3 linked regions of the Solanum lycopersicum genome follow. The main gene of each other region encodes a partner of the protein of the gene in region 3 in a complex. Links are inferred from orthologs where the notes say so. Each region holds a gene or a part of one and is shown on either strand. Other genes may lie near its edges.

Evidence for each region. Proteins that work in one complex are often made in the same cells at the same time.
Region 1: lethal leaf spot 1-like protein (region 3) and coenzyme F420 hydrogenase_dehydrogenase beta subunit-like share a complex: the UniProt entries of both Arabidopsis thaliana proteins name them as parts of the SGR1-CCE-LHCII complex. The link is inferred for Solanum lycopersicum from reciprocal best matches to the Arabidopsis thaliana genes ACD1 and HCAR.
Region 2: lethal leaf spot 1-like protein (region 3) and chlorophyll(ide) b reductase NOL, chloroplastic share a complex: the UniProt entries of both Arabidopsis thaliana proteins name them as parts of the SGR1-CCE-LHCII complex. The link is inferred for Solanum lycopersicum from reciprocal best matches to the Arabidopsis thaliana genes ACD1 and NOL.

The regions. Positions count from the first base shown.
Region 1 is NC_090808.1:67,932,022-67,936,725, reverse strand, and holds part of coenzyme F420 hydrogenase_dehydrogenase beta subunit-like, read left to right. Parts: intron 1-666; coding exon 667-778; intron 779-921; coding exon 922-1,006; intron 1,007-1,163; coding exon 1,164-1,205; intron 1,206-1,306; coding exon 1,307-1,385; exon of another isoform or gene 1,386-2,071; coding exon 2,072-2,123; intron 2,124-2,225; coding exon 2,226-2,288; intron 2,289-2,962; coding exon 2,963-3,060; intron 3,061-3,911; coding exon 3,912-3,947; intron 3,948-4,024; coding exon 4,025-4,086; intron 4,087-4,704. UniProt on the Arabidopsis thaliana protein: Probable iron-sulfur flavoprotein that converts 7-hydroxymethyl chlorophyll a to chlorophyll a using ferredoxin as a reducing equivalent. Catalyzes the reduction of a hydroxymethyl group to a methyl group. Belongs to the chlorophyll catabolic enzymes (CCEs).
Region 2 is NC_090804.1:48,922,953-48,927,656, forward strand, and holds part of chlorophyll(ide) b reductase NOL, chloroplastic, read left to right. Parts: intron 1-2,150; coding exon 2,151-2,221; intron 2,222-2,295; coding exon 2,296-2,344; intron 2,345-2,415; coding exon 2,416-2,501; intron 2,502-4,329; coding exon 4,330-4,387; intron 4,388-4,704. UniProt on the Arabidopsis thaliana protein: Required for chlorophyll b degradation. Chlorophyll b, chlorophyllide b, pheophorbide b and pheophytin b can be used as substrates. Belongs to the chlorophyll catabolic enzymes (CCEs).
Region 3 is NC_090810.1:57,602,319-57,607,640, reverse strand, and holds the start of lethal leaf spot 1-like protein, read left to right. Parts: upstream 1-1,979; 5' UTR 1,980-2,068; coding exon 2,069-2,488; intron 2,489-2,581; coding exon 2,582-2,817; intron 2,818-3,147; coding exon 3,148-3,274; intron 3,275-4,147; coding exon 4,148-4,284; intron 4,285-4,694; coding exon 4,695-4,854; intron 4,855-4,937; coding exon 4,938-5,216; intron 5,217-5,322. Other genes in the region: uncharacterized protein, read left to right, coding at 322-404, 498-633. UniProt on the Arabidopsis thaliana protein: Catalyzes the key reaction of chlorophyll catabolism, porphyrin macrocycle cleavage of pheophorbide a (pheide a) to a primary fluorescent catabolite (pFCC). Works in a two-step reaction with red chlorophyll catabolite reductase (RCCR).

The DNA.
Region 1 (4,704 bases), on a different chromosome or scaffold from region 3:
TAGAGCTATAAATTACACAAGGTACAAGACACGTATAGTGGATCTTCATAAGAATGATTTCTCTAGTTGTTAACATAATCTCGACATACTGAAATTTATGGGGTTGATAATGTTATACTGAAACACAGTATGGTCGGACTCTAATCAGACTCCTCATAGGGCGATGGGAAAACATTCATAGACCTCCATCAAAGTCTTCGCTATGGTGTACATCTGTCCTCTTCTCTTTTCTCTTTTCTTTGTTTTTTCTACCTTCTGTTTAATAATTTCATACAGCTTAGCATAGTTTACAGGTACAACGTAATCTCGTGACAGGTCAAACTTTTTTCCCCAATTCTATACAATTTTTTTTTTTTTTTGGTTATTGTCCAAAGGAACTTGGTAAAGTTTGAAAATTATTCCGTCTTTAGTTTGACTGGTGGGTGGAGGGTGACAGGGGGTGCATGTAAGTTCTTTTATGAGAAAGAATGATTTGATTACTCACTAAAAAACTTCAGTGCTTGCTACGAGTAGCAGTTCCTTGGAATGCGTTCTCAACTCAGTCATGCTATGCTATTAGGACCTTCTCTTTTGGTCAAATTTATATGAAGTAGCTCAAAGTACAGATAGTATTTCTTATGGTAAAGTGACCAGATGATGTTGACTGTTCCTTATCATCTTCTTTAGGCTTTGGAACCTATTGTCCATGGACGAGGACGGAAAGAAGATTCCTTGGATGAGATTTATATGGGGGTGTATGAGAATCTATTGTATGCTCGTAAAACTAAGCCTGTGGAAGGTACAACTTTGGATGCTCTTATGTAGTATTCTAGTTCAATTTACTGTTGCTTGTTTTCTTGTGCTCTCTAGATCACTAAAAGAATGTGCCAATTTCTATGAATCATCTGGTCATATTCCTATCTTTTTCTTTCTGGCATTCAGGAGCTCAATGGACGGGGATAGTGACAACTATTGCCGTGGAGATGCTAAAAGCTGGGATGGTGGAAGCTGTTATTTGTGTTCAGAGGTATGGCTTGCATCCAATTTGGTTAAAAATAATTTAGTTCTCCCTCCTGGTTAATTTCACTGTACATGAGTTATGCACTTGAAATTTTGGTTTCTTTCTTCTACTTATTACCCAGCAATTCATGGACTCTTTACCTTCTTTTTTTTATGTTGTTTAGTGATCCAGAAGATCGATTTGCTCCTCGACCTGTCCTGGCAAGGTTTGTGACTGGGAATTCCTGAGCTATTTGTATTCATGTTGATTTTTTACCTGTTAATTTAACCATTTCGATCTTCAACTTTAATTTTATGTTTCTAATAGGACTCCAGAGGAAGTTATAGCAGCTAAAGGTGTTAAGCCGACACTGTCTCCTAATCTAAATACTCTTGCCTTAGTTGAGGTTTCTTCTTTCACTTCCATTATCATCAGAATCTTTGATTGTTCTGTTGTCATCAATGCATTTATAATCTGTGTAACTCTATTGAATTCTTAATGGAGCATGTTGTCATGGATTGAAGATGCCATATCTCTCCTCAATAGGTAATTGGAACTTGTGTAGCTATGCTTTCTTATTCTTCACCACACCACCAAATTAGCTTTACTATCACCCCCCCTCCCCCCGTCAGACCACCACAATCTAATACTGTAATTGCCCCAATCGGGGATTTTATTAAGATAAGCTCTTTTGATTTTCTGATTTGTTCCATATTATGGTTCGAGCTGAATTCCTTTCCTGACAATTTCAGAGTCTTTTTGCCAAATTTTTCCTCTCTATCCATTTGAAGGTCGTAGGTTATTTTTTGACTTTATTTTAACTATTTGAGCTTATTTCTCCCCAAATGCTTTCTCCCTTTCTTTTGGTAAGCATCAACCATCTGCATATCACACTTGTAAGGGTAGGCTTCTTGTTATTTCTTTTCATAACAATGCAATCATGGAATTTCACACTTTCTAGTCGTGCATGCTCTAATGCATTAAAAACTGGGCTTTAAGAGATTCCAGTTTTCACTGAGGATTGTCACACAAGTGTATAGTATAACTTGTAGTTCAAATGTTGAAGTAAGCAGTATTGTTTCCTGGAAACAGGCAGCTGGTGTAAAGCGCCTTCTCTTCTGCGGGGTTGGCTGCCAAGTTCAAGGTATCCAAGTTGTTATGATCTCTTCATCTCTGCTTCAAACTTGATGTTGTCATTACAATTTACATCTCTGTATTTTAAGCAGAACAATTTCCTAACTTGCAGCTTTAAGATCAGTGGAGCAATATTTGAATCTGGAAAAACTTTATGTTCTAGGCACTAACTGTGGTGAGTAGTCGGTGGTATTCATAGACTCCTTTCCTACATCTTTGATCAATTCTAATATAACTACCAACTGCTTGAAATTTGATTATGTTTGTAATTACGTGTGTTTGGAGATCTAATTTTGATCTTTTTTTAAATTAAATAACAAAAAGTTTGATCTATTAACATCACCAGTAGGAGTACTTGTTTGTTGTTAGTATCTCAAAAAAGAGTCAACTTAATTTTTTCAGTTTGTCCACCACAGAAGCAGGGAGAGAAAATAAGACATATAGTAAGTGGACAAACTGGACAAAGATTCAATGGAATCTTTTATGATACTCCCTCTGTTTCAACTTGTTTGTGTGGTTTTTACTTGTCACAAAGTTTAAGAAAGTAAAGAAAACTTTTTGAATTTCGTGGTCTTAACTCTTAAACTATAAATATGTAGAATGTACCAAAATACCTCTTAACTCGTGGTTTCAAACAGGCTATGTGGAAAGTTGGAATTATAGAGTTTCAGGAAAGGGAAAGAAATATTTTTTTCGAAACGGACTGAAAAGGAATAAGACAATTAATTGAAATGGAGGGAGTATATAGTAAGAGGGATGCTCTATAAACTGCTTTTTATTAGAATCTCCTTTCCCCTCTTAGATATTTTTAGTCAATATAGACCTATACTAACTGTCATTTCTCAACAGTGGATAATGGACCACGAGAAGGTTTAGATAAATTTCTGAAGGCTGCTAGCAGTGAACCTGAAACAGTTCTCCACTATGAGTTTATGCAAGACTACAAGGTGTGCTACTGTTATATTTCTTCCATAAAGAAAAAAAAGTAAGCTCCTGTTACTCTTTTATGACAAGCTGAGCTTCATTGTGAGACAACTTATGCATAACCTCTGTGATCTTGGAATTCTATCCATTCAAGTATAAGAACAAGGAAACCAACTTCTACATTCTGTGTTTGTCATGACGATATGTTTTCTGCTTCTGTTGTATTCTAAAACATCAGTAAACAGCCTTTCTTAGTCTGATAACTAGGGTGCTTTTCTAGAATATGTTTTCATTTGGTTGGTGAGGTAAGTTCACTCATGAAGATGCACTTCAATATATCATATTGTCTCCATCCTGATAAATTTTATATGACACATCTTTATTTTGGGCGTACAAAAATCTTTGACACCATCTTACTAACAATATAACTTTATACAACTTCATCAGTTTCTCAAATTTTAATATGTTTGAATAGTCAAATTATTAAGGTTTGATTTGGCATTTCTATGTCAACCTAATTTCGTTTACAAAAATATTTTAAAATTTTCCTCAACTACTACCTATAAAATACACAAATCAAATTAATATCTCAAGTACCATGCCTCGTCCGCTGGTGTCGTGTTGAATTTGATGGAGGGTTACTATCCTTTGTTGGATCAGAAATTTACCAATAAGTAGGATCTTGCAAATGAGAAAGACTAAATTAAGCTCACATGTGCTTCATCACCTTATAGATGAAAACATTTGACAGTTAATCCTGTAAACCATATTATAGCTTTCTTCTTTTACTATGATTTAAAGGATATACTATTGAATTGCATGTGATAGTTTTCTAATCAGTTGAAGCATCTGTCTAAGCTCTACATTTCAACAGGTCCATCTGAAGCATTTGGATGGCCATATTGAAGAGGTAAAATAGCATCTTCTTTTTCGTATCTTTTGTTTTATTTGAATGCTGTTTATTCAGATCTATATTTCACTAAGCAGGTTCCCTATTTCTGTTTACCAGCAAATGACTTGGTTGATGTTATTGCACCATCTTGTTACAGGTATTTCAATTGCTTATTATTGATTTACTGAAGCCTTTAAACAATATCTGCATACTTAACCTGTAGACTTTTTGGGTCAGAGGTCGGTGGTGGACAAGTCTGAATATAATTTTTTTGTTCCATCTCTTTGTGCTCATGGAAATGATTCTTTCTTTCCCTCTATGAGTTGATCCAATTAGTCAATCAACTATAAATTAATCCTACATTAGTTTGGGTGGCTTTATGTATCCTCAGCATCCATTGTGCTCTGTTAGGTCAATTTTTTTCCAATATCTAATAATTCGTGTTATAAGGTATCGTCCAGCTCCCTAACCTAAAGCGGCACCGGGTTTGGACCGCAGGGAACCGTAGCAAACTAAAGATGTGAAATATCACCCTTATCCCTACGTGGATATACTAGTTTTCAACAAGAATAAAAAGACCCTTGACAAGCACTTATGCAAGCGTAGCAACAACTATGCTTCAATGACTGCATCCTATCTAGTTGGTATCACCTATATGGATATGGAAGTTTATGTGGGATGTAGTCAAACCGTCGTAGGCGACATTCTCTAAGTGAGCTACTTAGACGATCTACTGGATATTCTTTTTTAAAAAAATGTGTTAATTACTCGAAAA
Region 2 (4,704 bases), on a different chromosome or scaffold from region 3:
ATGTCTCCCAATTTGATCACCCTCCAGACCATTACACCATATGACTTGATGTAGGTTCCCATTCTGACCTTCTAGTGTGAGAAGTACTTCCCATTGGAGTAGGGAGGCCTTGTCTGAGAGGTTCCCTCTTAAAATAAAGCTTCAACTGTAATGACTGGCAATTAAATGATGACGCAAGTTATAAAACAATAAGTAAATGACACTGGGTATTTTTATACCGGTTGGGATCCAATGTGGATTTTAGTCCAGTCCCCTTGGGTTGCAAGGGATTTTCTATGCAAGTACTTTGAATAGTTGATGAGTACAAGTCCCTCAAGGTTTAATCCTACGTCTACACTCGATCTTTTTTTCTCTTGACACAATGCCTCACCAACTATATTTTTCCTCTCTTCTCTGTTTTGATTACACAGTAAACCATTTAAGAATTACAATGCTTGTTAAGAGTAGAACAATGCACTTTGAGGAGGCTTTATACAAACGTATGTTAGTCTTTGGTCTTCAATGATTGATTATATGAGGACTGTTGTTTCATTAGCAGAGAGGGCAACCCTAAGGATTTGATCCTTGATAAGGGAAATTGATTTCCTTTCCAACAATAAGGGACAACTCATCCAAGAGGCTGCTGTTGTATTATTTTTACTAATCTTCCAAATATCTCTTTTGCCACTTCTGTAATTTCACTGGGTCTTGATTAGTACTTGATACTGCTTCCATGTGATCTCCGTGAGTCTTGCTTCTTTCCTTGGAAGTCATCTAAGATCTGCCTTTGATTAAGTCCTTGAAAATCTTCAGTAATTAATAGCTTAGACTTTCCATAATATTCCTGCATACATTAAATCATCATTAAAACCTGACCCTAACAAATGGATCTGCTTAAATGACACGAAAATTATCTTGTAAACCTAGAACATCAATCAACACCCATGAACTTGAGTTCAAGAAAATTTCACTCAACTAAATCATTCGACATTACTGTACACATGCAAAGATAATTTGACAGCCCTGTTAAATTTTCTTTATAACAGGTCCCTTTGCAGCGGTGTAGTCATGAGCACCATCTAGTTCTTTGCCAAAAATCCTAATGGCTTTGTCTTTTATTGGTGCTGGACGAATTACGAAAATTTAGGAGAAGGATTCCATGTTCATGAAATCCTGCGTTTCTCTATCATACATGTCCACCAACTTTGTGTTGTTTTTTGAAGAGTAGGGAGATTTTGGAGAATAGACTGAAGGCTAAAGGAATGGAGATGAGGGTTTGGAACAAAAGAGAATGGTTAAGTAGAAGCAAGGGAGTATGTTGTCTTATATTTTCTGCATTGAAGTTATGTGTACACAACATTCTGATTTTTTAACATTATGTTATCAGTGTAATATGTAACTTATTCTAACATGTTTGTTACCATTTTAATTACTACTTATCAGTTGGTGCCTATAATTATAAAGGTCCATAACATTTAATTTTGATATATTATACTTTGTGTTGAATCTGTAGTTGTTACTTTGTGTATTAGGTGAAGTTACTTGAGCCCAAGTTTGTGGGTGTTGAGTGATGTTCTGGGTTTAGATTATTCTCATGTCATTTAAGTAGACTCATTTCTTAGAGTGGGTTAAATGGGTATAAGGTACATGTGTTAAATAGACATTATTTTTAAAACAACAATATACCCAGTGAAATTTCACAAGTGAGGTTGGGGGACGGTAGAATGTACATAAATCTTACCACTTCCTCGTGGAGGTTGGAGGTTGGAGGTAGAGAGGCTGTTGATGGCTTTATTTCTTGAAATGGGGTTACATTATGACATGGCAGCCAAATAGGTTTTTGTTTTTTTTTGAATGTAAAAAAAGGGGCAGTGACTTTGGTAAGTTATTTCCATAAGTTGGGTGACTATTTAAGCTATTAACTCCAAATATTAGCATGTTGATAGCTCAAATGATTTCCATTTGGATAGTCTAACACATCAATTATCTGGTAAAAATGAGATGGGAAAACTTTGTGCATGTATTTTAAAGTTGAGATATAAAGTGTTGTTTTATCACTCCACCGCAAGGTGGTAATTCTTATATTATTTTTTCTGTCATTGAGAAACTATAATGTTGAAATGTTGATATTCTAATTTTTGTTGGTTTCTCACATATTCTTGAGAATGAAGCAGATCAATAATGCAGGATCGAATGCGTATAGCTTCAAACCCCTGGCAGAAGCTTCTGATGAAGATTTAATGTGAGCTCTTTTGCATTCGACTTGTGTCCTGTCTTTGTTTATTGAAGTTTTTCATGAATTCGATTTGTGTGCAGTCAAGTTGTCACTACAAATACTCTTGGTTTGATGATATGTTGTCGTGAGGTAAAAGCATTGCTAGGTTGTGGATTTCTCGTTGTTGGTTAGCCTATGTTTGCTAACATTTGTTATTGCAGGCTATAAACTTGATGCAGAATCAGCCTCGAGGAGGTCATATTTTTAATATTGATGGGGCTGGCTCAGATGGAAGACCAACCCCCAGGTATCTTTTTTCCTTTATCAGTGACACTCAACTTCTGCATATTGTATTAGAAGAGGTGGGGCCAAGTGCAAGAACACTTTCACAAGGGAGATTTGAGAAGTGAATAATTTATCAAGAAAAGTATCCTATTTTGCTCTATTATCTTAGAATGTCACATGGATGTCTCAGGTGATGCGCAAATTGCTTCCTGTTGACAGTGGTTCATCAACTAAGAGTTTCCACTTGAACTGCAGGAGTTCTTTGTTAACTTTACCAACCTCTTGGTAGAACATCAAGTTTATCAGTTAATAACTGGACCTTAAACTCATTAAGTTCAACCGTAATGCAGGTTATAAATCAGTTGATAAGAAATTTCTGGATAATCTGTATAAGGATAGTATTCTCAGAACCATTAGATGTGGTTGGTAACATTGAACCATAAGCCGTAATTAAATGTTGAAGCTTGAAAGTTGCTCCACATTATTAAAGAATTCACAAAAAGAACTTGACACCACTTAAATAATTAGCAAAGTTGGAGAGAGAATGAGGGAATTGTTGGAAAATGAAGAAGAATGGAGGGTTATTTACAGTTAAGAAATAGGGTCATGATGTAACTAATAAACATGGGAGTTAAAATAAAACTGTGGTGGAGGGGGAGGGCTGAAATAGCGGTTTTTGGGTCAATGTAGCCGTTGGGCAATGACTCTCAATGGTTACCTTTTCTTAGAAAAAATACGAACTGGCAGGGAAGGACCAACCGTCCAACCTGCCTCTTCCCCTATCCCCCCCTTACAGTACCCGGGACTGGGCCCGTCTCCTCTGACACCCATAGTGTTATGATTTGCTAGGAATTTGACCTGCTTCTGTGCATCTCATTAGAATTTCTTAGCAGCTTTATTTTCATGATCTGTAAGGAAGAGAGAAACAGAGAAAGGCAAGACTACTAACAGAGTTTCTATAAATGGACTGCCAAACAAATTGGAATCAGAAGTTATATTTTTGTTTCACTTCCAATTTTCGGCACCCCCATCTTTTTCCTTCGATAGCAGAAATTGGGTGACAGTGCAATCGAAATTGGGAAAAAAATAAATAAAGCATACGTTTCATGTTTTCAGCTCCCTCACCCTAGCATTGCTAAGTTAAACTGTTAAATTCATGGGAGACAAAATTCAAGTTTGTTTCATTCCCATGTTTGGCTATAAGACAAGAAAGATAAAATGATAATCATCTATACAATTTAATATTCTTTTCTAGGTACAGGCATTTGGTTGTTTGCTCGAGCAAAATTAAACTTTTGTATCCTGCTGCTCAAAGTATCTTAGCTGCTCCAATTCCATGATCATCCTCGTACTGCTACACAAGCATCCTCTGACCAATTTGAAAACCTTGTGACTGCAAATGATTACTGGTGGCTATAATGTTTACCAGTATATTACAGCAGTATTTAACAGCAAGGTGATATCATCTAAAATATCCTAGTCTATCCTGCTTCTTTGCTTATTACACGATGTTGTGTCGTTATCATATCAAGGAACACACTTTGAAACTAAATTGGTAGTGTGTCATGCTAGAGTATTAAACTATTATCGACATGCCCCTGATCGTCTCTTCATTTGTTCTCTGTTTTGGTTGCTCCAGTCTTCCATTTTTCATTTTCAAATGTGCTCTGTTTATTTCAGATTTGATCCTTCTGAGTTTGAAATCTCTTATAGATCTTTAAATTTTGGGGATTGCATTTCTATCAAGTTCATACAGGAGGTCACTAGTGAGGTTAATGCCACTAGTCTCACTTGCTGCCCCTCTCGCAGTCTTTCTCAGTGATATGTCTTGTCTTCTTTTTGATCTTCAGATTTGCAGCATATGGAGCAACTAAGCGCAGTGTTGTGCACTTAACAAAATCATTGCAGGCATGTACTCTGGTTGCAGACCTAAAATATATAAATGAAAATGTTTCATCTCTATTGGTTTGTGCTTATAGGCAGCTCACACAATTCAATTTTGTTTTAGAGTAGACAGGCATCATGAATTCGAGTCTCACCATTACCTACCAGCAAAATATATCCATGTGCTTGGGCAAAAAATAAAATAAAATAAAATTTGGCCCGTTCATAAGAAGACGTGTTGTCGAACTATAATAAAGAAATTTCTCCTATTGCATCTCCAACCTTATTCTCTATTTTACTCTCCAAATATAGAGTTCTCTATTTTCGGACGACCAACTCCA
Region 3 (5,322 bases):
GCCCAAACGTAATCCTATTATTCATGCTGTCTTTGATATCTCTTCATCCGTGTGAATATTGTTAAAGAAACTTTGAACTGTTACGTGTAGACATTAATTCTTTTGGTTTTCTGGAAGATAGTATTTTGCCTCAAAATCATATTGCTTTGAGCAAGATTCTAAAAGATATACTGCATGTTTAAATATTCTTATAGAGTTGTAACTTGTGACTGAAGTTTAATGGTTTTCATTCCTGGATTTCTTTTCCGGCTGTCACTTATTCCTCATCTTTTTCTTTTTTTCAGTTGTTAGATACTTAAACATCCTACTTCATCTCACTTGATGTCTCGGAAACGCAATGTCATTGTTGCCACAGGCTTGCTAGTCTTTGCATCTGCTGGCTTATCCTTTCCGTTTTACATGGCGTAAGCAAGACTTCATTGCTTGTCAAATAAATAAAGAGGTGATCTTTCATATTGTTTTGCTTAATTGTAAGCTAATTCATTGTTTCAATTCAGGTCAAGATCATCAAGGGCAACTCCAGTCATTGATTCATCAAAGCCATTGCCACCCCAGGCGACATTTCGTGGCCCTTACATCAACACGGGATCGCGTGATATTGGACCTGATCATCAAACATACCCTAAGAAATAACATCTTTCTTGATTAGATATTAGTTTTGCTAGTTATTGAAGTCACTCTAGATTTCCCCTTTTTCTTTCTATTCAATGAAAAGAGATAATAATGAGAGTCTGTTGAAACTGGCTCAGGAGAAATTAGCATGTTTGAGAGTGATCCAGGAGCACCCTAGCTGGCCTGGACACCATTGTTATCGAAAACTCTGGAGGAAATTTGCATGTTTGAGAGTGTGATCGAGGAGCGTCCTATCTAGCTTGGACACTACTGTTTCAAGAAAAATTGTTCTTTTAGAGATTTTCAGATATGTAAGTGTGATGTTGCTTTATTGTTCAGAAACAACAATATGTAATATGCTGCGTGGAACGGGGCTAGAATTTTCAGTAAGAAGTTTGAAAATGAGGGTAAAAAGAAAGGGAAAATTGAATTTTTTTTCCCCCCCTCTTTTTAATGATTTGGTTTAAATGGAAGAAGGCACTTACTTTCATACCAAATTCAAGTAAAAGAAAAGGAAAACATTGGTGGGAATTGGGAATAGAACTAGATTTTTTTTTATGAATAGAAAAAAAAAGCAAAGAAGAAAATTGTTGCTACTAGGGCGTGTTTTGACATATTTTCCATATTTGGTTGGTGAAATCTTTTAAGAAAATGACTCTTTTATTACTGTACTGTATTGTTAAATTTATTATTAGATAACATTGAAAAATTTTTATTTTGTATAATCATCAATTTGGTGTGACTGTATTATAATTTTATTTTTCTTTCTTCTCATTTTGTTTAATAATTTTATTTCATCTTTTTTTCGATCTTAGATCTATCTTATTTTCTTGTAAGTATTGATTATGACATTCAATCGATAACGATAGGATATATTAATATATTTTTATCAAAATAATATATAATGTAATATGCTACGATATGATATATTATGAAATTATACTAAATAACTTATCTAAATATTGTGACATTTCAAGATCATTTTCTTTTCCACTCCTTAGTCCTTACTCCAAACACATGTTAGAAATATATTTTTTTAAAATTTTGAGTTGAAAGTGTGTAATAGAAATATTTTGCTATTGACATTTAACCATTGATTTTATCTCCTCTTTACTTTCACAATTATTATCATGTGTAACCTAATCAAATTTGAATTTGTGTCACGTTGAGAATAAAGAGCTCTCTAATAAAAATACGATTCCATATTCGAATGAGTCAAGCCTAAGAACTCTAACCAAATAAAAGAAGTATTTACCACTCCGCGTTAACACGGTCTCTTCTTCTCCCTAAAGCACCACCACCACAGCTTTCATTTTCTGGGCCCTCCCTCACAAACCACAAAACTCATCAAATTCCAATTCAAACACATTGTTCATAACTTGCACGCAAATCCTTCTTCTTCTTCTTTACTTGAACATATGTGTATTAGTAACACAAAACATTGATTAACTCAATAATGGTTTCTTCTCTGTTACTACCAACTCCTCAAATTCTTTCAATTTCATCTTCCTTACAGTCTTCACTACCTTTCAAACCTCATAATTTTCTTCAAATTACAAGGAAAAAAAATACGCTAATTTCATCTCCTCTTAGAGTAGCTGCACCTCCAACAACAACAACAGCTACTGAAGAAGAAGAGAAGCTAGATTCAAAATCTAGTGATATTGAAGATACAGAAAATGATGAACAAGATTCGTCGTCGAAATTCTCTTGGAGAGATCATTGGTACCCAGTTTCATTAGTGGAAGATCTCGACCCGAGTTTACCCACACCGTTTCAGCTACTGAATCGTGATATAGTTATCTGGTTTGATAAATCTGGATCTCAGTGGGTTGCTTTGGATGACAAATGCCCTCATCGTCTTGCTCCTTTATCTGTACAAATCCACTTCTCGATTTTGCTTGAGGATACTTTTTATATGTGTTTTTAGCACTCCTCTTTAAAGTTTTTGATGTATGGGTGTTTGTAGGAAGGGAGATTAGATGAAAATGGTGATTTGCAGTGTTCATATCATGGATGGTCATTTAATGGATGTGGTTCTTGTACAAGGATACCTCAAGCTGCATCTCAAGGACCTGAAGCTAAAGCTTTTCAGTCTCCAAGAGCTTGTGCTACTAGATTTCCTACTATGGTTTCTCAAGGATTACTCTTTGTTTGGCCTGATGAAAATGGATGGGAGAGAGCTCAGGCAACAAAGCCGCCCATGTAAGTTTCTGAATAATTAATTAAACTAGTTCGAAGTTATGCTATATTATTATATATTAATCTCTACTATAGTGACTTGGTTTATATTATAATACTAATCGATTATCTTTAGTACAATGACTTGCTTAAAATATGTTCTTCGTATTTTATTTAAGCTATTGCTGGATAATGAGATTGATTTGGTAGCTCACTTGGTTGATGCCCTGCATGTGTGGTTGAAGAATCGAATCCCATTCCCCTACCTATCGCGTTGATCAAGATATTATAGTTGGTAGACTTGAGTATACTTTTAGTGGGATTTAAATTTGTTGTTTAATGGGATATTTGTAGGTTGCCTGAAGATTTTGATAAGCCTGAGTTTGCAACTGTGACAATTCAGCGTGATTTGTTTTATGGCTATGACACTCTCATGGAGAACGTCTCTGATCCTTCTCACATTGATTTTGCACACCACAAGGTATTTTTTGCAACATTTTCATTCCTTTTTGGCTTCTAATATAGTTAAGAATCCACTTTCAGACCTAAGGTTTTATCCTTACATGCTAAAAATGAATAGTCTTCAGGGTTAGTTCTGAGTTCTCATAAGCTACGGGTTGTTTGGTTTTTGATTTCCATGAAAATATGAACTCAAACTGTTTCACATGTGAAAAAAGTGAACTTTTGAACTCTTAAGCCAAGTAGCTCGCTGTGCTTGGCCAAAACATATATAAGGTCGTTCCTTGGAGGATTTTCTCTTTATCTGGAACGGTATAAAGGTGTAGCTTTTGAGTGTTGCTCATTGTTTTATACAAGTTTTCATAACCTTACTTTCTGTGCAATTATTAGGTAAAAGCCATACTTGGAGAGCAATAGGTAGAAGTACGCCATGGGAATCTTAACTATCACTCTTATGACTTCAGTGCTACTTTTATCAATTTATGGATAGTTTTTCGATCTTACCATCTTAAAAGATGAAGCTGATAGGATTAGGCTATCCGGAGTGTGGATGCTGAATAACATGTTTTGACTCTGGATGTTGCTTCATATTCAGCTGACAGGATTAGGCTCTCTGGAGTCTAGATACTGAACAGCGTGCCAGACGATCCTTAAAATAACCTTTACAGACAATGTTGTGTGTATCTATCTGTAAATATAAATTTCAGAAAGATCTGAAGTAGAGCTTTCATCTTTTCAGTCGCTAAACGACTTTATTATTAGCAAAGGGCTTCATGTATCAGATAACAGAATACGGTGTATATATAGATGTGCATTTTTACTAGAGTGATACTGCTGCTGCTTGCTTGGTGTCCAACAACACATGTCTCTTAACTTACTTGTTGATATTTTACAGGTTACTGGAAGGCGAGACAGAGCAAAGCCCTTGCCATTCAAGATGGAGGCATCTGGACCTTGGGGTTTTGCTGGTGCGAACAATGATAAACCAAAAATTACTGCAAAATTTGTCGCACCTTGTTACTCAATGAATAAGTAAGTTCATCATCCTAAAGTAGATCAAATTTCTTGACTATCAAGGCAAGCAATCATGTATAAATTAATCATCTTTAGGTAGATATGCTTGCATCACATTTCTCTTTCTCCTACTTCACAGAGTCTGTTATCTGCTAACAAAACGAGACATTAGTAGCATTATGTATCTATACTCTTATGGTTGTGGGCATTATATCCTGTTCAAGTCGGGTTCTTTAAGGTATAGCTTTCCAGACCAGGTGCATGGTTTGTACAAGGCTTTGCGCATCAATAGATGGAAGTTCGCTTTGTTGTTGGTATACATGTCTTTATATCTTTGTATGAATTACGTTTTATATGTAAATGTTAGCTCCATCCATGCTGCAACTATTTGCATAGTATGACTAAGATCTCATTGGAAAATTTTCCAGAATAGAGATCGACACAAAGCTTCCAATCGTGGGTGATCAGAAGTGGGTGATATGGATTTGTTCCTTTAATGTACCTATGGCACCAGGAAAGACCAGGTCAATTGTTTGTAGTGCTCGAAACTTCTTCCAGTTTACAGTGCCTGGGCCTGCTTGGTGGCAGGTAATAATATTTGGTTAGCAATATATTATCATGCTAATATATTATCATAACGTCTAAGAATTTTCATGATGTGTTGGCAATAGGTTTTTCCAAGATGGCAAGAACACTGGACTTCAAATAAGGTGTATGACGGGGATATGATTGTTCTTCAAGGTCAAGAAAAAGTCTTTCTTTCAAAGTCGAAAGAAAATGGTACTGATGTCAACAAAGAGTATACAAAACTCACATTTACACCTACTCAAGCTGATCGTTTCGTCTTGGCATTCCGAAATTGGCTTAGACGGCATGGCAATAGTCAACCTGAATGGTTTGGTAGCACAGACAACCAACCACTGCCATCTACTGTCTTATCCAAACGCCAGGTACCGATTCTCAGAACTCCAATCTGCTACTCTTCCTATGATCCATTTTCACTAATACCAAACTTTCATTGCCACCAAAAGCATACAACTACTACTACTACTACGC